Notamacropus eugenii: one gene and its partners. The protein of the gene in region 3 interacts with the protein of the main gene of each other region in a biochemical or structural test. Links are inferred from orthologs where the notes say so. Each region holds a gene or a part of one and is shown on either strand. Other genes may lie near its edges. The genes, in order: WWTR1, CACNA1D and SHANK1.

Region 1 (7,676 bases), on a different chromosome or scaffold from region 3:
CTGGGTCTTCCAATGTCCTACACAACTAAATTTCCCACTAACCAACAGCTATAGGACTTAAGGCCTGTGGCCTCAGCAATGGCTCTGGTGGGAAGCATGGTATAAAGAAAAGGCACTGACTGACTCTGGTATCAAAAGGAGGTGAGTTAGACTCCCAGCTCTGTTGGTTACAGGTTTATGATCTTGTACAAGTTATTCCTCTCTTTGGGTTATCCATAAAATGTGTGTGTGTGGGGGGGCAGGGGTTCTAAAAGTATATTGATAGGCTAAAGGCTTAGGCAGAATCTAAAAATATGAAATTCAGTAGGGACAAATGTAAAGTCTTACACTTGGGTACAAAAAATTAATGTCACAAGCATAAGATGGGGGGAGCATAGTTAGAAGTCTATGTTCTAAAAAGTATTTGGGGGTGTCAATATGAATCAGCTGTGTGATGTGGCAGCCAAGAAAATGCTAAGATGATTTGTTGATGCCTTAAGAGCATAACTTCCAGGAATAGAGAGGGGATAGTTCCATGTCACTCTGCCATCATCTCACTTGGAATATTGTTTCAAGCTTTCACAGTTTAAGAAAAATATTTATAAGCTGAAGATGAACATAGTAAAGAGTCTGTATCATATGAGGATTGAAAGAAGTGGGCATGTTTAGTCTGAGAAGAGATTAAAGGTGGATGAGAGAGTTGTCGTCAAGGATTTGAAGGGGTGGCATTTGATTGAGGGACCAGACTTGGGAAACTTGGTATGGGAAGAATGAACCAGGAGTAGTTGGTAGAAGTTGCAAAAAGGCCCATTTGGACTTGATGTCAGGAAAAACTCCCTACCATTATTGCTGCCCCAAAGTGGAAGAGGTTGGCTGGAAAGGTGGTGAGTTCTTCCTCCTTGGAGATCTTTCTTTCATGCAGAGGTAGGACAACCACCTGGATAAGTGAAAGTAGAAATTTCTTTCTTGTATGTGTGGGAGTAGACAGCTGCTGAGGTCTCTTCCAACTCTAAAATTCTTCGGTTATGGGAGAATCTCTAAATGTTGTCCCCCAAAATCCTATAAGCAAGGAGAGGTATGTTCATAGAGGCCTCCAGAGATAATCCATCTCTGCCTAGATGCTGTAATGTAATTATCACTTGTTCTAGAGCTATACTTTTGTTTGGTTTTTAAATTTTTAATTTGTTCCGAACTTAACAAACACAAAAAAACCCCATGAGCATTTCCCTATATGAAGCAGAACATAAAGTGGATCCTGTATGGACCATGAATTTCTATTTTGTACCTCTTGCTTCTTAAAAACATATAAAATAAATCTCACACATTATTTTTAAAGCTGTTCTGCTATGCTGCTTTCTGTACTCTTCTGTTCATTTAAATCCCTCTTTTCATGACCCCGTTTGGAATTTTCTTGGCAAAAATACTGGAGTGGTTTATCATTTCCTTCTCCAGCTCATTTTATAGATGACAAACTGACACAAATAGGGTTAAATGACTTGCCCAGGGTCACATAGCTAGTAAATATCTGAAGCCAGATTTGAACTCAGAAAAGAGGAGTACTTCCTGACTCCAGACTCAGCACATCTAGCTGCCCCCCTTTTTTTCGTTGTTGCTGCTAACTTGTTTTCTGGGTTCTGCCAACTTCAATCTGCATCAGTGTATAAAACTCTTCCTAGGATTCTCTGAGATAGTCTCTGACAATTTCTTATAAGGCTATTGTACTCCATTACAATCATATAAAACCATTTGAACTCAGGTCCTCCTGACTCCTGCGCTGGTGCCCTATCCACTGTACCACTTAGCTGCCCCAAGTGTCTCACCTCAGACACTTGACACTCACTAGCTGTGTGACCTTGGGCAAGTCACTTAACCCCAACTGCCTCATCCTGGGTCATCTCCAGTCATCCTGATGAATATCTGGTCACCGGATTCACATGGCTCTGGAGGAGAAGTGAGGCTGGTGACCTGCACAGCCTGCCCTCACTCAAAACAAAGTCAAATGCAAGTCATTCTTTCTCTGATGGCATGGTCTTCTTTGACAGCAAAGGACGAACACTCACACATACACACACAACAGTTTAGCCATTCCCCAAATGATGGGCACTCGACTCAGTTTCCACATATTTTCTTTCCTTCCTTTCAGTTCTCTTAAGGAGGCATTCTCTGAAGCTGATTTGTTTTGCTTCCAACCATTCTCTCCTCTTATTATTTATTCTCTTTTTTCTTTATCTGTTTGCTATATTGCTACAGTAAACTCTGTGTATATGTGTTGTATCTTCATTCCTCTATTGTCAGCTTCTGGGCACAGTGTGGTTCCTCTGAGGTCTATCCTGACTCCAGGTCTAGTCCATATCCACTTCACCAACCAATTTCTACACCAAACTTTGAGTGTTTTCAACACTCCTTTACCTGTTACAGGGAAGAGGGAGGTCCATCTGATTCCAACTCTTCCTCTTTGTACACTTATGAGAAATAGTAAGGTCCACCAACTTCTTTCTCCTTTTTCTTTTTTTTAACCCCAGTGTATTTTTTTTTTCCCTTCCCTTCCTTCCTAAAACCTTTAGAAGTGAACCAACCCAACTGAAGGTCCTCTGTTACCCTTACTTAACACCCTCAATACCTTTTGGAGATAATAAAGTTCTGAACAACAATATGTTTCCCTTCCCCCATTAGAATGTTAGCACTTTATGGTAGTATAAAATCTTTTCCCCTACGTATGGTTAGAGACAACCTTAATTGGGAGGCAAGTTTGTGGGGAGTGGAGTTTTCCCCTGATCTGAGGATCTCAGTTCTTATACCTACCACCTGCTCAGCTTCCATTTTTGCAATGGAAATGTCAGTGTCATTCCAATCCTCCCACCCACACTTGGGGCGGGATGGGGTGGTGGCTCGCTCTACTCCTTCCTAGCACCTCGCGTTTGACCCGGTTTCCTCTCAATTCCTAGTAACTTGGAGACAAAGGATTAATTAATGGTTCAAAGGGAGTTTGTTTACTGATCGTTAGAAACGAAGATCTGGTAGGGAAAAGCACCCGGGCACTTGGGGCGCTGTCTACACTACAGCCGACTACCACTCCACAATCCGAGCCCCACCACGCCGAGGAGCTCGGCGCACCAAATATGGTCACATCTGAAAAGCCTCCCAGGAAAAGATTGTTCTTGTTTATTCCACCAGGAGCGCTTGTCTGTCGGGTTCCAAATACTCAATTCTTCGGGGTCCTGGCAGTTCCACGGGACTACTCTGTCCTCCTGTTAAGGGAGAGTGTGGCCCCGTACGTAGCAAATACCTCGAGTGGGAGCCGGGGCTGCGACTTCAGTCTCCTCCTTCCTGGTCCCTTTGGGGCCGCAGCACCCAACTCCCAGCTCCCAGACTCCTCTGTCTCAGTCCACTAGTGCTTTATTGAATAGGGCCACCCACCTCCTTTGATCCAGTCCCAGACCCTATCCAAGGCAGTGGTAAACTCAAAGGAATGTAGATCCTGAACCCGGCAGGAGGAAAGGGAGGGAGGCTTCAGCGAACTTCTCGGCCTCGGATCCCCGGAGGAGGAGAAGAGCGAGGGGGGTGTGTGGGGGGGTGATTTTGCCTCCTCTTACCCAGTAAAGTACTCATCACGCCCAGGGCTAGCAGAAGCCCAGGACCGGGAGGAGGAGGAAGAGGAGGGGCGAGCGGGGGCAGGCAGTCTCTGGACGCGGAGGTCATGCATAATTCATCAGCTAAACTTTCGGCCCCGCCCCTTTTCTGAGGGTTGGAGTTTTCCCTAAACTTTGTTTATGGGACAGTCCGGGAGCAGCCGCGGCCGCTCCGTCTCCTCCTCCTCCTCCTTTTCTTTCTCCTCCTCCAGCTCCGAGATAATCCAAGCTTGATGCTGGGCAGATGGACCGGAGGATGTGAGAACGGAAACCCCTCTGCCAGGTCAGAAGTCAAGTCCCGAGCTGGAAGTCCCGGTCCTGTGTCCACTCCCACTGTGCCCCCAGCCTCTAAGCAACTAGCCTGGGAGTCGCTGACGAACGAACCGACGGATCGACGGACCCCAAGGCCCTGGGAGCCGAGTCTGGTTGCGAGACCTGACTTTGCCAAGTTGGGATCCGGACGGCGCGCCGGGCTCCCAGTCTGCGCCTCGGCCCGCTTGGCTCGGGCCGGCTGCCAAGGCTCCTTTGGGCTCGGTCGCCCCGGGATCGGGTCCTTCGTGGAGCTGAACAGCCTCGGGCTTCGGGGCTTGTAGTGCTCGGAGTTCCTGGCCCTGTCGGCTCGGGAAGCCGCGAACTCTCCCCGGACACTGAGCCGCCGGACCACGTCCTAATTAATCCGCATTTCCACGCGCCCTCCTCCTTCTTGTCCTCCTGCGGGGAACTTCGGGGCCACTGGAAAGTTGCATAATTGTCGAGGAGGCGAGGATTTCCCCTCCCCTCCCCCCCGGGCCGGCCTGACTGGCGAAGGAAGGTCTGTTAGAGATCCTCGGAGAGGGCATCGATCCCCGTCCCGTTCCTCTCCAAGTTCTCTCTGAAGTTTTCATTTTTAGGGGCTGATCCCCAGGCCAGCCCCCGCCCCCGCCCCCGCCCCCGCCCCTTTAATAAACCTGCAGCTCGGTGTGTAAGTGTGTGAGTTAGTGGAGAGTGTGAGATCGGGAGGCGCACGATGAATCCCGCTTCTGTACCCCCTGCTCTGCCGCCCCCGGGGCAGCAAGTCATCCATGTCACCCAAGACCTCGATACAGATCTCGAAGCGCTCTTCAACTCCGTGATGAATCCCAAGCCAAGCTCGTGGAGGAAGAAGATTCTGCCCGAGTCCTTCTTCAAGGAACCCGACTCCGGCTCGCACTCCCGGCAGTCCAGCACAGACTCGTCGGGCAGCCACCCGGCCCGGCTGAGCAGCGGCGGCGGCCCGGTCGCCGGGGGTGCCCAGCACGTCCGCTCGCACTCGTCGCCCGCCTCCCTGCAGCTGGGCACCGGGGCCGGGGCGGCGGCCAGCGCGGCGCAGCAGCACGCGCACCTCCGCCAGCAGTCCTACGACGTGACCGATGAGCTGCCGCTGCCTCCCGGCTGGGAGATGACCTTCACCGCCACCGGCCAGCGGTACTTTCTCAAGTAAGTGATGGGACTGCCTGACGCCTTCCGGGGGTCGCGGGAGGGGTCCGGTGCGTGAGTGTAGGAGTACACAGGTAGGTGCGTGTGCACACACAAGCGAGTACATCTACGTGTGCTTGAATGCATGAGAGTGCTGCGTGCCCCGGTGACAACTCTTTCTCAGGGGTGCAAGAGAGTGGTCCCGGGGCAGGTCGCTGTAGCGTTGGCACTGTGTGCGGTGAGGGGGGTGGAGATCAGGACAGTGGGTCGGGATCTGCTGGCTAGGGAAACGTAAATCCCTGCTGTCGTGGGGGCCTGAAATGAAACTGGGAGGGGGGGGGGGGATTCCCAGGCTGCTTGTAGGGATAACCTTGCAACTAAATAAAGGTGGGAGCGATGGAAAAGATGAGTCGTGTCCAAGTGGGTCCAGAGTAGGGCTGGGAGGCTGGCGAGGGCATCTGTAGATGCCAAAGTGCCAAGGAAAATCCGAGTGGGCAAGTTTCCGTCTTTCAGGGTCTTAAGGAAATGATGGGTTTTTTTGGGGGGGGGGGCGCAAGTTTCTCTTGTCTGCAATTTTCTCCTTGATGGAAAGAAAGTTGAAAAAAGTGAAATGGAACGCTGGGAGGTTGGACCGTTCGCCAGCCTCTCGTTGACACCGTAAGTTACTCTGTTGTTAGAGTAGTTACGGGCTGGATAAAACAATTGTGTGGAAATTAGGTCAGGAGAGTTTCTTTGTGTCAGCTGGGGAGAACCAGAAGACTGTGTACATGGCCGCAGCGCCTTTTGCAAAATTTCTCTCCCAATCACAGCTTTGCTGTGAACATTAAACTTTAATTAAAGTTTGGACAGTTGTAACCACAGACTTCCGGAAAGGAAAGCTGTGGCTGCGGCCTCTCTTCTAAGAAACTAATCATCATGAGAAGAAGGCTTGCAATCTGAAACGTGCCCAAGCTCCCAAGGTCCGACCTTGAGCTTATACCAGGGCTGGCGCTGGCTTAACCTGGGTTCAGATATAGCCCTAGATACGTTCATTAACTGTGTGGCGACAAGAAACCTACTTAACCAAGTGGAATCTAGTTTTCTCATCTGTAAAATGGGGACAAGTACTTCCTCCAACTTTAAAGTGAAATATGGAGTGGATTCATATTTGCGATTTTATTGGTGTAGGGGTTCCTGTGTGGAAATGCCCTTCACCCATGTGGATCAGGCACTCCTCCTTACTTGACTGACTGAGAGTCCTCGAGTTGCCTTCTTTGTTTCACAGCAAAGATATTCCAAAGGTCGGACTCGAACCCAGGTCTTCGGTGCTCTACTCACTATGTCGAGTTGTCTGTCAAAAAATCTATATAAGTGAAACTTATCTGTGGAGTCATTCTTTGATACTTTGGAAGATACTGCATCCCTTCTGATTCACATTCGATGGTCCCTTCCAAATAAACTAATCTGTGCTTATGAATAAATTAACTAATAATTAATAAATTAATCGAGTGCTTATTGCAGTGCCTGGAACTGTTTATTGATTGGTTGCCTACAAGGATGTAAGATTTTTTTGGTTGCTGTTTTCATCTCCTTAACTCATGCTGGTGAATAATTATCTGAGAAGCTCTTTCCTGCCCTTTCCAAACCAAAGTAGGTAAAGAGGCTCAAAAGAAACTAGAGGAGATGTGTAAATTTAGAAAATCCACTCCAAGTTTCACATGGACTATTTGCACCCTACCTGTAGTAGAACATTCCAAACTCCTGTTGGTCTGATCAGCCACAACTGGACGCACTAATTTGACTATAGCATAGTGATGTCATTTTGGTCCTCTTCCAGATGGAAGGACAACAACCAGCTAACCAACCAGATAACCTGGTGGCATTCTGATTAATGAATGCTTGATTTTATTTCTGATGTGGACGGAAAACAGAGTCACTGGACTGAAGCGGATGTGTTTTGTCAATTTGATTCCCAACGTAGTGTCCTTGAGCAACATAATGACAAGGTACAGGGGCTGGAAGCCCACCTCTGACAAGAGGAGTTTGATCATAGGTCCTTTTTCTTCTCTGAACCTCAATTTTCTCATCTGTAAAATGAGCATCATATTCTAGGGACTAAAGATGTCCTAGGTTTGAGCTGACGATTCAGTGAAATCCTTTGGGCAAAGAGTTTTGCAAACCTTAAAAGTGATAAAGAAACCCCAGCTTTTAATATAGATGGTAACACTGCACTGACAGGGAATGTTTTAACTTATTAATACCCACTGTAAGTCAAGAATACTATTTATGCTCATATGCATCAGGGTACAATAACTTCGTCTTAAAGGAGGCCCTTTGGGCTTCGCTTATACCATTTTAAAGGTCAGGATGCCTATAAAATTTGTCATTTTAATTTTGCTTAGGTAATGAAATTTTCAAAGATGTTAATGTAATTTTTATAGGCATATACTTAGTCAGGATTAAGTGTCATGGTGTAGTGGAAAGAGAACTGGCTCTGTAGTTGGAAGATCTGGGTTCAAATTCCTACCCTTGTTTCAGCCAACTTTTGTGTAACCTTGACACAGTAACTTTACCTCTCTGGGTCTCAGTTTCTCACCTTTATGAAGTAGAAGGATTAGTCCAGATCTCTCCCACCTCCCTCCCTGCTCTAATATT
Region 2 (7,418 bases), on a different chromosome or scaffold from region 3:
TGTTTCTGGAAAGTTTTTCTGTAGAGTTCTCAAAATGTTTACCCTGTGTGGCCTGGCTCTCCTGCTGGGCATCTTCTGAAGTCCTGAAGTCCAGTGTGCCTAGTTGGTCTTTGCTGCCAATGCAGACTCTGCCCCTGGCCATATACTGTTGAACCAACCAGAGAAGCTGCTAGAATGCCAGTAAAAAGTCCGAATCCTCTGACCTTCTAGAGCACACAAGGTCATTCTCTGGTGACCGAGGGGACGAGGCTGAGGTACTCTTTTCTCATCTGACAAAGTTATTGGCCATAGTTACCGCAGGTTACCATAAGGCTAGTTACCTTAGTTGGATGGGTTGACTGATTCAGTCTTTCCTTCTCCCTTTCCCTCCTCGCTCCAATCCCACACTTAGACAGGGAAGGAAGGGAAAGTAAACGAGTATGAATACAAAATAAGGGTAGAGTTATGTAAGTACTGTCTCCAACAAAGCCAGAATGGACCAAGGCATGCTAAGGATGACAAAAAGGTCCTGTTTTTAAAATCTGTGTTTGAAGCAGAAAGGGCATCTAAGAAGAGAGGGGATTGTTGTTTGGCATAGATGGCATGATGCCAATATACAATGGTAAGAAGACCCAACTACTCAATTCTAATTTTGCTCAGGTTTTCTCTTCTAAGGAGAATCATCTCTGGATAAAGAACGGCAAGCAGAAAATCTAAAACGAAGCTAAGGTTAGAGGTGTTAAGGCAGCATCTGGCTGCCCTCAGCTACTACAGACAACCAGGCCTGGACCAACTACATTCTGAGACGGTTCAGGCAAGGCAGAAAGATCAGTGAGAGTTTTCATTTTTATTTTATCTTACATGTGAAAACGACTTTTAACATTTCATTTTTTAAAATTTTGATTTCCAAGTTCTCTCCCTCCTCCCTGAGTAGGCAAACAATTGTCTTGGCTATAGATAATACATTTGCTGCCATACAAAACATATCTCCATCCAGTGGGGCTTTAATGAAACCTTGTACTACAGTCGTTGTGTTGGTAGGAACAGAGAGCAGGGAAAGAGTTCCAGAACTATTTTAATTCAAGTCAAGAAATGTTTAATAAGCCCCACCCATGTGCCCCTCCTGATGTGAGGGGGAGGCAAAGACAAGAATGAAATAGCCTTCATCCTCAAAGGGCTTCCATTCTACATGAATAATGGATCTACATGGATCTGTGACCTCTTCCATTTGGTTCTTTCCTCCAGAGATGCAGATGGCCAGTCAGCCATGCCTGTCCATACCTAATGGAGCCCTCTCTCACCAACGTCCCTCAATGACTTTGCCACCAGGGCTCCTTTCAAAGTGGTGGAGGGCTTCCTATCTTTGCCATCTCCAACACAGGAACGGAACCCTCAGGCTGGCTCCTGGTTGGCTTTGGGTGTGACTAGGCCACCTTCTCTTCTTTTTCAAAAATCCAAATCAGGTCAATGCCGCAGCCTTCTCACTCCTACAGTCTGTCTCTCCATTTCTTGTTCAAACACCCTCCAAGGATCACAAACCTCAGGTGAGGCACAAACCAGGAAGATGTATACTCACAAAAGGACAAAAAGCTGTGATGGAGATCAATTTGAACAAGGATTCATTGTGAGGTCTCTCAGATTCTTCTCTTGGTGGATGCCATTATGATGGTTGCATCAAGGATAATAAAGAGCCTCCTGGAAGAGATCTGAAATCCCTCAGAAGAGTTTGATCAGACTATTCACACAGGATAGACCAAGTGGATGAAGAATGTCTTTTATCCAGATTAGGATATGTAGCAGCTTCTGGAGTCTGTCCATCAGTAGTCTGGTGGGTTTAGCATAATGCCTGGCACTTAGTAGGTGCTTCATAACTGTTTATTTACTGATGGATTGATGTACTGTGCGGTCTTTGGGAAATGGCAAAGGTTCTTAAATGACCTCAGACTTCCCATGAAAACAAAAGACCACCTTTTTAATATCAACATTCTATTGATGTTACTGTGTGGTAGCAAGATATGGAACATAACAATCTTTGAAGTTAAAAATGGAAACAATGTAACATGTGCCCTTGGAAGTAAATACAAAGAATATACAGTTATACAAGGTAATTTCTCTCAAAGGGAGAATGCTGATCGCTTAGAGCATCATATACAGCTTTGCCTCTCAGTGAGATTTGAAGGCCACTGGCCAGGCTATAAATTCTAAGAGCTTGAGGTGGAGAAGGAGTGAATTTCATGCCTCAGAGACAATCAGTGCAAAGACCCAGAGTCAGGAAGAGCAGAGTTCAAATCCAGCCTCAGATGCTTACTAGCTGGGTGACCCTCAGCAAGTCAATTCACCCTGTTTGCTTCTGTTTCTCATCTGTAAAATGAGCAGAAGGAGATGGCAAATCACTCCTGTCTCCTTGCCAAGAAAACCTCAAATGGGGTCATGAAGAGTCTGACATGACTGAACAACAACAGCCAGCAGGGCAGTTTGACTGGAATGGGGACTGTGTGACCTGGAGGAATCTGAAACTGGGCTGGCAGGAAGGTGGGAGCCATATTGCCGAGAGCTTTCTGAGCCAGGCTGAGAGTATGGCTGGCCCTCCACTTTGTCCTGGTGATTCTCAGTTTTAATTCTTCAAACAGTACAGTGGAAAGAGCCCTGGCTCTAGAGATAGAGAAGCTCCGTTTGAATTTTGTCTCTGACACTTAGTACCTATGTGATCTTGGGTAAGTCACCTCAGTTTCTTCATCTGTAAAATGGGGAGGTTGGACTAGGTGGCCGCTGAGGACCTTTGCAGCAACAAACCCAGGAGCCCAGGAAGATTTTGAGTAGGAGAAATCAATGGTTCAACGTGCACTTTTGGAATATTCGTTTCCTACCTGTGTGGGGGAAGGGAGTGAGGCAGGAATAGACTGATGAGGAGAGGGTAAGGTCGTAGAAGGCATACTAAGGTCAGGAAGAGGAGCAGGCTTTCGAGTAAAGGGTATCTTTGTAATCCTCGATTTACTCATCAGAAAAAAGAAGGGTTGCCATGGTGGAAGAACTCTGGTTCTGGAGTTAGGAGACTTGGGTTCCAAATTCATTTTTACGTGACCTTGGGCATGTCATTTTCCAGCTTCAGGCCTCAATTTCCTCATCTGTAAAACGAGAAGGTTGGACGAAAGGGTCTGTGACGCCCTTACCAGCCTTGGATCTCAAGACCAGTCAGGTAGAATCTGCCTGGTCAGCTCTCCGAGGGCGGGGCTAGGATCGAGGGACACCTGAGCCCTCCCAGGGGCGGGGTCTCCTTCAGGTGGGCTGGTCTGGAGAAAGTGGGAAGGGGGGCGGGGCGGGCAACTGTCATGCTCTCCATCCCGTCATCGTCGTCCCCCTTCTCCTCTGGCCTCAGAATTGCTAGGCAGGAGGAAGGAAGGCTGAGCCACCAAGGCCACCCGGTTCTGTGTGATTCATCCCCCCCCCCTCCCTCCCTCCCTCCTTCTCTCTCTCTCTCCCGCGCCGAAAGAGTTAACTGCTCTTGTGAGGGGGGAGGGGAGGGGAAGGGGAGAAGTTAACCCCTTCCCACCCAAGGGCCAGAGGCCGGTGAGCCCCAGGAGCCCCGGGCCGGGCTTGCCCCCTACCTGCTGTCCCACTCCAGGCCTGTGCATCCCCCCCAGCCCCTCTCCTGGGGCCAGGGTCCCGGAGGCAGGAGACCCGGCCCGTGCTCGTCCCCCGCCCCATCTGGGGGTTGCGGGGAGGGGGAGGAGAGGGGCCTGGCAGCGGGCCGAGCCGGGAGGAGGCTCCGAGGAGGAGGAGCGCAACGAGCGGAGGGAGGAGGGAGAGCGGCCAGCAGTGGTGGCAGCAGCAGCAGAGGTGGCAGCAGCATCTGCAGCAGCGGCGGCAGCGGCCTCGCGGGGCCAAGGCGGCAGCGGCGCGGAGTCTGTGTGGAGCCGAGCTCCTGCCTTCCTGCCCTCCTGCCGGTCCGCCTGCCGGGGGCCCGGATGTGAGCAGCAGCCCGGCGGCGGGCGAGGGCCGGCCGTGGGGCCCCGGCTGCCTTCGGCGGGGCCGGACCGGGGAAGGGAGGCCAGGAGGCAGCAGCCCCCTGCGCGGCGGCAGGCGCAGGGCACGGGCACCGGCGGGCACGGGCGGGCATGGGGGGCGGCCCGAGCGGCCCCCGCACCGCCCCCGGCCGCGAGGAGGAGACCTAAGCGGGGTCCGAGCCGCCCTTGAGCCCGGAGCTGCCGCCGGGCAGAGCCGAGTGGGTTATCGTAGGGCCGGGCAGGGGCGGGCACCGCGCCGCACCGCAGCCCAAGGGCGCCCCCAGCCCCACTCCCGCACCCCCGCGGCGGGCCGGCCGGCGCCGCCGCCGCGCACGCACACGCACACAGCAGGCGCTCGATAAATGGTCCGGGAGGAGGATGATGATGATGATGAAAAAAATGCACCCCCCGAGGCGGGAGGAGGAGGAGGAGGAGCACGCGAAAGGTGCGGGCTTGGGGGAAGGGAGGATGGAGGCTGGGAGGGATGGAGGGATGGAGGCAAGAAGGCTTGGACGATTGGAGAGAAGGAGGGATAAAGGAAGAGAGGAAAGGAGGGAAGGCCCCGGTCTGAGGATGCTCGGGAGCTTCGTTGCAGCGACATGTTTGGCGGGGGAGGGGCCGTAGGTGGGGGGTGGCCTCCAACCAGATGCAGGGAGCTCGAGGGGCGGCCCTCCGGGGCCGAGGTGACTTTTGGGTTTCACTTTCCCAGCACCGAGTCAGGTGTGTGGGTAGGGAGGGGGTGCAGGTGGAGGCCGGAAGCTGCCCAGGTTGGAGTCCTCAGCTCGGCGCGATCCTCTTTCTCCGTCTCCCCATTCTGCGAGGCCAATGGCTCTGGGGGGAGGCTCATCCTGCTCCCCTTCGGGCCTTTTTCTGTCTCCTATTCTTGTCTCAGTGTGACATTCCCGGCTCCCCCATTGTCTTGGGGGGCGTATGTTTCTGGTCTTCATCTCCTCCATTTCCCATTGCCTGGAGCGGCCCCTGTAACATAGCCATAGCCCCAGCACTTCCTGCAGATCGCCCCCCCGCCCCCCAAGAACCTGGAGAGACACGTGCGCTCCCGCCCTGCCGGCTGTCTGCCCTCCCTCAGCGTTCTTGCTCACAGCTCCTGGCTTTCTGGGCAGGCTGGTTGGCAGGGCTGGGGTCCCTGGGGCAGGCTTGCGCCTCTAACCTGAAAAAAGAGGGAATGCTCCTTTTCCAGGCCCCAGGAGGGGACCACAGCAACCCCATTTAGCTGAAGCCAGAGATGTGTCCTCACTTCCACATCGATACCAACTGGATGGGTGGGCTAGAAGCCTGTGGGCCCGAGGCCACATTCCTTTCCTCGGGTTATTCCAGGGTGGCCCAGAGACTGGGGCCAAGGTAACTGTAGGTGCTCTAGTGACTAACAGGGCAATTTATATGGCCCAGAGGGAGCTTTGGGACGTCTGGCCCTGGGGGTGGTAATGACCCTTTGGCTTTGATACTATTTATTTCCGAGTTGGGGATGCACTTTGTCTTCCCCAGCTATCTGGTTTCCAGGGTTTATTCCTTCTCCATCTCATTGCTTCTCATTGGCTTGACCCCTCTCCCTGCATCTTCCAATATGACTTAGGATGCCCAATGTACTGGTTTTGCCTCCTGTGGCACTGGGAACCATCTCAGCCATGTTCACAGACAGAAGCATCTTTGGAGGGCTACCCTGACGGTTGAGCAGCTGACAAACTCACACAAAACGGCCCTGTGGATGTCTGGGCATCTTGTTTCAGGCTAGCTAGCTAGGGCTCTGGGAAGCTTTTGGAAGGGGGAAAAGGGGTCCCATCTCCGGTTGGGAGGCCTCTGGTCTGGTGCAGGAGCTGTCATTTAAAAAATGCCAAAGGCAGAGATGGTTTCAGAAGCCAGCAGAGGAAATGAATGCCAGGCTTCATGAATTTTCATTTGAAGGAAGCGTGGGGACATAATCCAGATTATTTGCTTTGCCCGGATGACAGGGGAGGACTCTTTTTGCATGAGCTGGAAAGAATGTTTCTTTCCTTGCTGTTGAAAGATGTGGGACTGTCACCCTGAAGATGGACCATAATATGGAACGGAGGCTTCCTTTTTCTTTCCATCAAAAATCTTTGGGGTTTGGGGGGATTTCAGTGCTAACCAGAAGACCTGAACTTGGGGGCAAGGAGCTCACCTCCTGAGAGCTCAGAGCCTGGCATGGAATAAGAACTGATTAAAGATTTTTTCATTCATTTGAAGAAATAGAGGAAAATGTGTTTGGGGGAGACACAGGGATACAAAATTCACTGCATTGTGAAAACCCATTGTTTCTGCCTCCACTTTGGTAGACAGCCCTGGGCTTTGGAAGGTGAAGAATGAGATTTTGGGCGCAGCTATGCTGCTGAGTGAGTAAGAAACTACATTTTAAAAAACAGTTTGGAGGGGGGAAACCTAATAACACACACTTGTTCAGCTAGAGAACTTATTCATGTTGTTCTATCTGTCTGCCTCTCCTTTCCCTCTCCCTCTCTTCCCCTCCCCTCCCCTCTCTGTCTCTCTCTCTCTGTCTCTCTCCCTCTGTCTCTCTCTGTGTCTGTCTCTCTCCGTCTCTGTCTCTGTCTCTCTCTCCTCCTCCTTCTCCTCCTCCTCCTCCCTCCCTCCCTCTCCCCACCTTCTCTCTCTCCTCAGAGGCAAACTATGCAGGAGGCACCAGGAACTCAGTCTCTGGTGACAGACCACCGTTCCGGCCGAAGAGCTCCCAGCACTCCCAGCAGACTGTCCTCTCCTGGCAAGCTGCGATCGATGCTGCTCGCCAAGCCAAGGCTGCCCAGACTATGAGCACCTCCACCCCCCAACCTGTCGGGTCTCTGTCCCAAAGAAAACGTCAGCAATACGCCAAGAGCAAAAAACAGGGGAGCTCCTCGAGCAGCAGGCCAGCCCGGGCCCTTTTCTGTTTCTCTCTGAACAACCCCATCCGAAGAGCCTGCATTAGTATCGTAGAGTGGAAGTATCCTTTTTGTGAGTCGGGTTGGGTTTTTTCACCATCTGTTCCTCCAATATATCCCGTGTGCTCAAAGGATTTGGTCTCTGGAACCACACTTACGGAGCATGGCGGCTTGGAGCCCGAGGGGAAGGGGATAAGCTTGGTTTTATTTTAACCTCCGGCTCCCCAAGTGGGAAAGGGGTTAGCTCTGCAGTTATATTTAGCCTTCTGGGGGGGAGGGGGCTGCACTTGGGGGAAGGCTGTCAGAGATGGCAAAGCAGGCAGTTTGCCTGGGGTGAAGGTTGGGCAGCTGGTGAGAGGCACCGTGTTCAGGCTGCCTCTCCAGTCTCTCTTGGCTTTGGGCTTGGCCAGGCCTGGAGCCCATTTTGGTTTTCAAAAGAGGATTTTAAGAAAATAGACTGATTGGAATTTTACTGGCAAAAGAGACAGTTTGGATCTTTAGAAGAATCCTTACATTTTGATATCTG
Region 3 (7,320 bases):
CCAGCCCCTTGTCCAACAGTCTTGCCACCTTGTCGGATGTGCCAAGCTGTACATACTCCAGAAACTTCTTTAACCCGGTCTAGGTCAGGACATGCACAGACACACACACACACACACATATACACAGAGAATAACATACTTAGAGCCATGGAAGAGTAGGGGATGATGCACAGAGGTTGGAGAAAGGATGGAGGATGGTAGGAGACATAAGGTCTCCCAGTGTCAGATCCCCTCTACCTCCCTTCTCTGGTGGACTCAGGAATCCCCAGGCCTATCCATCTCAGGGAGGAAGGGAAGCTTAGGGAGATGAAATGAGGAATGGTTGGGGATGGAAGAAAGATAAGGGATAGGAAGGGGTCAAAAGGAAGGGTTCCAGGGGTCAAAAAAGAAGGCTATGAGGGGCCAACAGAGGATGCTTGGAGGAGCCATGAGATGAGGAAGGAGCATGGTATGGTCACGGGAGGGATATGGCGGTCAGTTGACTCAATTCAACAATTCAATAAGCATTTATTAAACACCCACCATATGCAAGACAGTGTCCTAGGGCATACAAAGAAAAGAAGAAAATATCCCTTGCCCTCAAAGAGTTTACCTTTTACTTGAAGAATTGAAGTGGGACTCACACTGGTACCCTCCTCCCCACCCCCATCCCAGCCTCTTTCAATGTAAGAGAAATAGGAGATATAAAGAGACAGAAATATAGATGGGGGGTGGGGGGAGGGAGAGAGAGAGAGAGAGAGAGAGAGAGAGAGAGAGAGAGAGAGAGAGAGCTAGTTAGGTAGATAGATAAGGAATTGCAGGAGAGAGGCCATGGGGGTTCATGAGAGATATGGATAGTGAGGTGAAGATACAGCAGATATAATGAGAATTGTCAGGACTTGAGGGAGAAGGCTACCAGGGGGACGAAGTGAGACGGGGAAGGGATTGTGGAGACTCCCAGGATAGAATAACACCTCATGTGTCTATAATGCCTTTAAGTTTCTCAGGTACTAGACACAAGGCTGTGTGATTGAGTGGAAGAAACTGGGGGGTCCTGGGAGAAATTCTGAGGCACACATACAGAGGGAGGAGATGAGGGGGAGGTATGGGAGGGTGGCTAGAGGCATCACAGGGATGGAAGCAGATGACAGAGACAGAGTCCCTTTCTTTCACCTTGGTATGGAGTTTTGCTAGCTGCTTCTCATCCAGATTGGTCTGTTTGTAAACCCGGGTCTTGTATCGAAACTGAGGCAGAGTGGGAGGTGAATTAAAGAAAGAGACATGAGGCAGAATTAGGGGGACAGTGAGCTAGACTACGAAGTCCAAGACTGGAGGGACAAGGGAGGGAGGAGGGGGCAGGGGAAGGGAAGTACACCTCAGCCCCTGCCTGGCCCCCAGCTCCGGCTGAACAAAAGGGAGAGGTGAGCAAAGAGTGTCAGGTAAAGAGGAGCAGAGATGTGGGTCCCCAGGGTGAAAAGAGAGGAGAGAGAGAACCCCGAGTGTCTGTCCATGACAGACACAGGGGCCAGGAGGGAGACCATGGACTGTTCTGGGACACCAGCAGTTCCCAGTCCAGCGGTACACTATGACCTGCAGAAGCTGGGATCAGGGCCACAGTGGGTAACTGGAATGGTGTACTGAAGCAGATAGTTACCTGATGAGGAGAACCTGGGTCCAGGGACTGAGTGTGATCTGTGCGCCAGCTGGAAGGGGTCAGAGGGACCACCCATTCCCAGCTCTCCTTTTACATTTACAGAGAAGGAAACTAAGGGACTCAATCTAATCCCACCATAGCTGGAAATGTGTGTCCTTCAGCTGCCCTGAGGACAGCAGGGAGCAGGGGGGGAGAACCTTGGCTTGTGGCCACTTCTTACTTCCCTGACCTTGAACAAGCCTCCTGACCCTTCTCCCTCCCCTTCTCTCATCTCTAATACCAGGGCATTTCTCTATCTCCAGGACTGGCACTCAGGTGCTCTAATTGCTGTGCCATCTAGCTCTAGAATCCAACAATTCCAGGGCTTTCCTTTCTGCCAGAAGAGGTCAAGGCCCTTGGGGATTCTTGGGGCCCTTGTGCCTCAGTTGGAGGAGGTGCCTTGGGAGGAGGGTGGGGAGAGAGAATGGGGCAAACCAAGAGCAGGGGTGCCGCTCACCTCGAGGTAGGGTACGCCCTTCTCAAAGGACTGGGGGTATTCTCGAAGCAGCCTCTCCTCCTCCAGGAAGTTGGCATCCCGGCCGGAGGATGCTGGCTGGAACAGCCCGTAGTTAAGCACGTCCTGGAGGCTTTCGCTCAGGGCACACAGGACTTGCTGCTTGGCAGCCCAGATGGTGGCGTCCGGATTGAATCGCAGACATTTCTGGAGTAGGGAAGAGAGTGTGCAGAAGGTCAAAAGGGAGGTGGGACCTTTTGAGGGAAGGGGAGCAGCTGTTTAGAGCTCATCCCTCCCCCTCCCGTGGTGATCTCCCCCCAGCAGAGTCAGCCTCTCCATCCCCTGAGAGCTGTAGATCCTGGCATCTGGAGCTGGAAGGACCTGAGGTCTGGCCTTCTCTCCTGTTCCTCACATGCCTTGGTCCCTACATCTGCCCGACTTGGTGCCTCCCAGGCCATTCCAGACCCCCCACTCACAGTCTGATGCAGATCTGGGATCCCAATCCGGAAGACCATCATACTGAAGTGGGCGTCGTCGGGCACCGACATGGAGCGACCCTGCAGGCGGCGGGCAGAGGCCAGGCTAATGCCAGCCCCCCCAGCCCGGCCCCGGGCCCCTTTGGGCACCCTCCCCGGGCCGTCCCGGGAGCTGTCGGACTCGGAGCCCCCTTCGGGGCACTCGCTCACACTGCGGCGCTCCTCCTCGCTGGACACGGGGCTTCGGGGCATCGTGGGGCCGCGGGGCCACAGGGAGCCGCAGCATCACAGGCAGCTGGAAGAGAGCAGGTGGTCACCCCAGGGTTGTGAGAAGGCAGGAGAAGTGGGAGCAGTGAGTTCACAATGAAGGGCTTCCAGGGTGGGGAAGAGCTCACACAGGGGCTCTTGGTCCACAGGATTCTCCTCTGTTCCTCCCTCCTGTTCTGCTGGACACAGGCAAAGGAGGGAAACAACAGACTCCCATGCAGCTGGAGGACTTGTTCCCACACCAGAGGGGGAGCACTGCGGGGCTAGGGGCAACAGCTGTGATACACAGCAGGTGCCCAGGTACCAAGGTGGTCATTGTCCTCCCTCACCTCCAGACATGCCCCCCCACAAGTCATCTACACCCACGCAGCCCCTGAGCTGTCTCCTTGCCCTTGTCCTTGGTTCCCCCCCCCCATCCGCCCCACTTTGCCGCTGACCCAGCGTAGCTGTGTCCCAGAAACCGAGAAATCACCGCGGGAGCTACTGGCCCACTTTGCCAAGCCACCAAAAATGCTGCTAAATTTAGGCGTGGGATCATGAGTGGCCTGACAGGTAGCCTGCCCTCCTGCCCTGGCCTTGCTCCTCACCCTGTCCCAGCACCTGGTGGAAGGGGGAGATTGGAATCACTGGACTGAGAGGAAAAGGGAAAGAAAGGCGGGACAGCAGCTTTGGTAGTTGGGGTAACTCTGTGAGTATGTGTGGAATTGGACAAGGTGCCTCAAAGGGTGCTGTTAAGCTAATTGTCCCCAGAGGAAAATATGGTGAATGGGGGACAGTGACTAGAACACTGTGCAGGTATAGGGGGCAACCAGATTGATATAGGTGAAGACCGTGAGGGTGATAGCATGGGGAGGGGGAACAAGACTTTTTATGGGGATGAGGTGGGTGTGGCACCGAGGAGGACTGATGCATTGGTGCTGGTGCCAGTGGGATGGTGGTGAGGATGATGGTAACTGGGTGGGGGGTCAATTAGGACAGAAATACATGGGGATGTAGGGCTAGGGGGTAGACTTGGAGGATACAGAGTGGGAGTGGTGTTGATAGTGAGGGGACCAGATTCTCTCTCTCTCTCTCTCTCTCTCTGGCCCCCCTATCTCCTTCCTCTTCTCACTCTCCATCTCTCTCCTCCCCCCCTTTTCATCCTCCTCAGTTGAGGTTGTGTGAGAAAGTAGTCCTGTGGTGGAAGCGGGAGTTGGCTTAAGATCACCCTCTTGTCTAGCCCCTTCCCCTCAGCCCCAGAAACAAGACTTCATGGCTTTTGTCCCTCCCCCCCACCCCCATCCCAAGCAAGGCCAGACTCCTGGGTTTCCATGGAAATTCAAAGCAGCCAAGGCCCAGCTGACTTTGGGAGGGGGGTGAGGGGAGGACAAATTGTGTTGGAAACATTTTTTCTGACAGGGACCCAGGCAACCCCCCCACTCCTCCCAGCTCCTGTTCCCCTCAAGATTTGGCATTTAGTCACATGATCCCCAACCCAATGCTCCAGCTGACCCCAGCCCTGATGGATTTGGGGGGAGTGGGGCTACCAGAGACTCAGCTTATCAACCCCCCCCCCCAAAAACCCACCACCCAGAGCAGTAGAGCTGACTCCGTCTCCCTGCAGACCTGCCTCCTTCCCTCCCAACGCTAGCATCAGAACCCCCCACCCCAAGGCCTGGACAAACACTGGCTCTCCCCTTCCCCCCCCAGCCCCGGGCTGAGGGCGGGAGCTGGCACACACAGCCGGGGCGGCATGAATCAAGCGCGCCGATAGCTAAGAATAGCTAGAACGCAGCTGGTGAGGAGACAGGCTGGGGAAGGCAGCCCTGGGGGTGGGGGAGAGAAAAGGGGAAACAGGGGCTATGGGGTGAGGGGTGGCCGAGAGGCCACCAGGCAGGTTGAAGCTCAGGGAGAAGAGAAAGGGGGAGTGAGGGTGGTGAAGATGGGGAGAAATGGAGAGGGCAGACAGGAGGCTCCTGGAGAGAACAAGGAGAAACTGGACTGAGGTGGGGTAGAGGAGGGAAGTAGTGGGGAATGGGGGGCAGGTAAGAGAAATAGGAGGGAGGAAGGGCAAAGAGAAGACTCCTGGGGGTGGACAAGGGAGGCTTTCCAGGAACTGAGAAGGGATGAGCCTGGGGGGAGGGGGGGCGGGAGGTGTAATGAGGGCAAGAGATAAGAGAACCCGGTTGTAACGAGGGTGGAAAAGGGGAGACTGGCCCGAGGCTGGGGAAAGGGGGAGGGAATAAAAGGCTTGGGGGAGGGGTGCAAGGAGAGAAGGAAGAGGAAAGAGAAGAGTAGCATAGTACGAGCTGAATGAGGGAAAGAGCTGGGATGGAAGTGGGAGGAAGGAAGGAATGGGAGAAGGGGACTGAGGTGTTAATGGGGCACGGGGTAAAGAATACTGGTGAGAGATAGGGGGAGCAGAGAGGGGGGTAGGGATAAAGAGATGGCAGCAGACATGAGGATCCATGGGAAAGAGAGGAAAATCAGCAGGAAGGAAGCATGAGGAAAGCGCCGGAGGAAAGATGAGGCAGAAAACAGTGGGAAGACGGGGGGGGGGGAGGCTCGGGAAAGATCAGTGGGGACGAGAGGGGGGAGGCTCAGGAGAAGGCACCTCTCTGAGGATGGAGAGGAAGGGCATGGAGGCCCAGGCCTCATCGGCAGGAGGGGAGGGGGTACCACGGACAGAGAGCATGAGGTGAGGGCTTCTGAGGGGCCTGGGATGAGGGAGTGGAAACATGGGGCAGAAGGGACGAGAGATAATGAGGAAGGGGAACCGGGACGGAGGGAGAACAAAGGGGACCGAGGACAAAACGAGGAACGGAGATAAGAGAGAGGGGGTGACAGGGAATGAGGAGAAAGGACAAGAGGGATGGGTGGGGGCGCTGGGCCAGAGAAGACAAAGACAGATGGGGTCAGAGAGGACAAGGGGGACGGAGGCGCTGGGAGAGATGGTGGGACCGGGGATGAGAGAGGTGAGGGACACCAGGGGGATGGGGGAGTGGCCAGGGAAGGTGGGGGAGCACCGGAGAAGGAGCACCCAAACCCAGGAGGCTAGGAAGGTAGGAGTGGAGCAGCAAGGCCAGGGTTTGGGGGAGACGGGCTCCAAGGGGGCCCCAACCCCCTTCCCGCTCGGCTCGGGATCTGGGACAGGGCACCGGGGACTGGGGCGTAACCCAATTCAACGTTGCCCACGGCAACGGTTCCCCTCACCCAGGCCCTCCCCCTCCCCCAAATGGGGGAAGCAGCGGCTAAAGACAGCTCGGAGCGCCCACCCCCCATCCCTTCTATCCGCACTCACACATGTTCCAAGCCCCAGCCCCCCCCCCCCCACGCCCCCAGTCCCGCTTACCTGACCGGCGGGGCTGCTGGGTCCCAGTCGGCGGCGCCCGCGGCCCCCTGTCCCCCCTCCCTCCCCACCCCCCACCCCCCCGAAGACAGAGACCCCCCCTCAGGCCATGCCCCTGCACCCCGGAGGGGGAGGGGGGAGGGGAGGGCCGGGGACCTCACCCCCCCCTCGAGCCGGGCCGGGCCCTGGGCATCCGCAGAACCCCCCCTCCCTCCTCCGGCCGCCCCCTCGTCCGCCTCCGGGTGGGCTCCGGGCTCCCCCCTTCCCCGCCCCCCTCGCGGCTGGCAGGCTTGGCGGAGGCTTCGGGATTCCTCCCCTCCTCCTTCTCCTCCTTCTCCTCCAGCCGCCGCCGCCGCTGCCGCCTCCCGCTCCTTCCTCCTCGCTTCCTTCCTTCCTTCCTTCCCTGCTCCCTCTCTCCTGCCGCCTGCTCTCCCTCTCCCTCTCTCTCTGTCTCTCCCTCTCTCCCTCTCCGAACGTGTGAGTGTGTCTCTCTCTCCTCCCCCTCTCCGTTCCCTCCCTCTCCCAGCCGGCAGAAGAGACCTCGCCCCTCCCCACGCCCCCAAACCTCGCCCGCCCCTCCTCTTCGCTAGTGGGACCCCAAGCCCTATCGTTCCCTCCCCGCCTCCAACTGGGTCCCCCCCTCCCGTGACCCGCCCACCTGAGGCTTTGCCCCTCCCCCTGTCCCCCCTTCCAGATCCCTCTTTCCCCTACTCCCCAGCCAACCCACGAAGATTTAGGAGGCCCTCCACTTCTCACCCTCTCCTCCTTTTCCTCTTCGGACCCCCCCACCTTCCGATGCCCTTCCCTTACCCCTTGGCCGTCCAGACTGGTGGGGGGCGGCTGACTTCCTCCCTCTAACAACTGAGCCCCGCCCTGCCCTTTCAGACCCGCCCCTTCCCCACCTGAAGGCCAGCCATCCTGAACTGACCCCCCTCCGGCCTAAGCACACTTGTACTCACATACATATGGGCACACACGTTTGTTCACATGCAGACCCAGGTACATATATATTCCTACTCAGACCCAAAGGTGCATGCACATTGCAACACCACACACATTTATCTTGTGTTCTACTTGTCTGGGTACCTATTGTATATAGCTTCTTACCAGAATGAGGCCAGGG

What was found.
Region 1: the proteins of SHANK1 (region 3) and WWTR1 interact in a test that uses a peptide from one of them, tested with the Homo sapiens proteins (2 studies listed by IntAct, with this or other methods). The link is inferred for Notamacropus eugenii from reciprocal best matches to the Homo sapiens genes SHANK1 and WWTR1.
Region 2: the proteins of SHANK1 (region 3) and CACNA1D interact in a biophysical measurement, tested with the Homo sapiens proteins (2 studies listed by IntAct, with this or other methods). The link is inferred for Notamacropus eugenii from reciprocal best matches to the Homo sapiens genes SHANK1 and CACNA1D.

The regions. Positions count from the first base shown.
Region 1 is NC_092877.1:338,525,216-338,532,891, reverse strand, and holds the start of WWTR1 (WW domain-containing transcription regulator protein 1), read left to right. Parts: upstream 1-4,614; coding exon 4,615-5,063; intron 5,064-7,676. UniProt on the Homo sapiens protein: Transcriptional coactivator which acts as a downstream regulatory target in the Hippo signaling pathway that plays a pivotal role in organ size control and tumor suppression by restricting proliferation and promoting apoptosis.
Region 2 is NC_092874.1:478,296,825-478,304,242, reverse strand, and holds the start of CACNA1D (voltage-dependent L-type calcium channel subunit alpha-1D), read left to right. Parts: upstream 1-4,346; 5' UTR 4,347-4,361; coding exon 4,362-4,428; intron 4,429-6,295; coding exon 6,296-6,352; intron 6,353-6,635; coding exon 6,636-6,954; intron 6,955-7,418. UniProt on the Homo sapiens protein: Voltage-sensitive calcium channels (VSCC) mediate the entry of calcium ions into excitable cells and are also involved in a variety of calcium-dependent processes, including muscle contraction, hormone or neurotransmitter release, gene expression, cell motility, cell division and cell death.
Region 3 is NC_092876.1:4,917,464-4,924,783, reverse strand, and holds the start of SHANK1 (SH3 and multiple ankyrin repeat domains protein 1), read right to left. Parts: upstream 3,100-7,320; 5' UTR 2,855-3,099; coding exon 2,603-2,854; intron 2,334-2,602; coding exon 2,130-2,333; intron 1,225-2,129; coding exon 1,153-1,224; intron 80-1,152; coding exon 1-79. UniProt on the Homo sapiens protein: Seems to be an adapter protein in the postsynaptic density (PSD) of excitatory synapses that interconnects receptors of the postsynaptic membrane including NMDA-type and metabotropic glutamate receptors via complexes with GKAP/PSD-95 and Homer, respectively, and the actin-based cytoskeleton.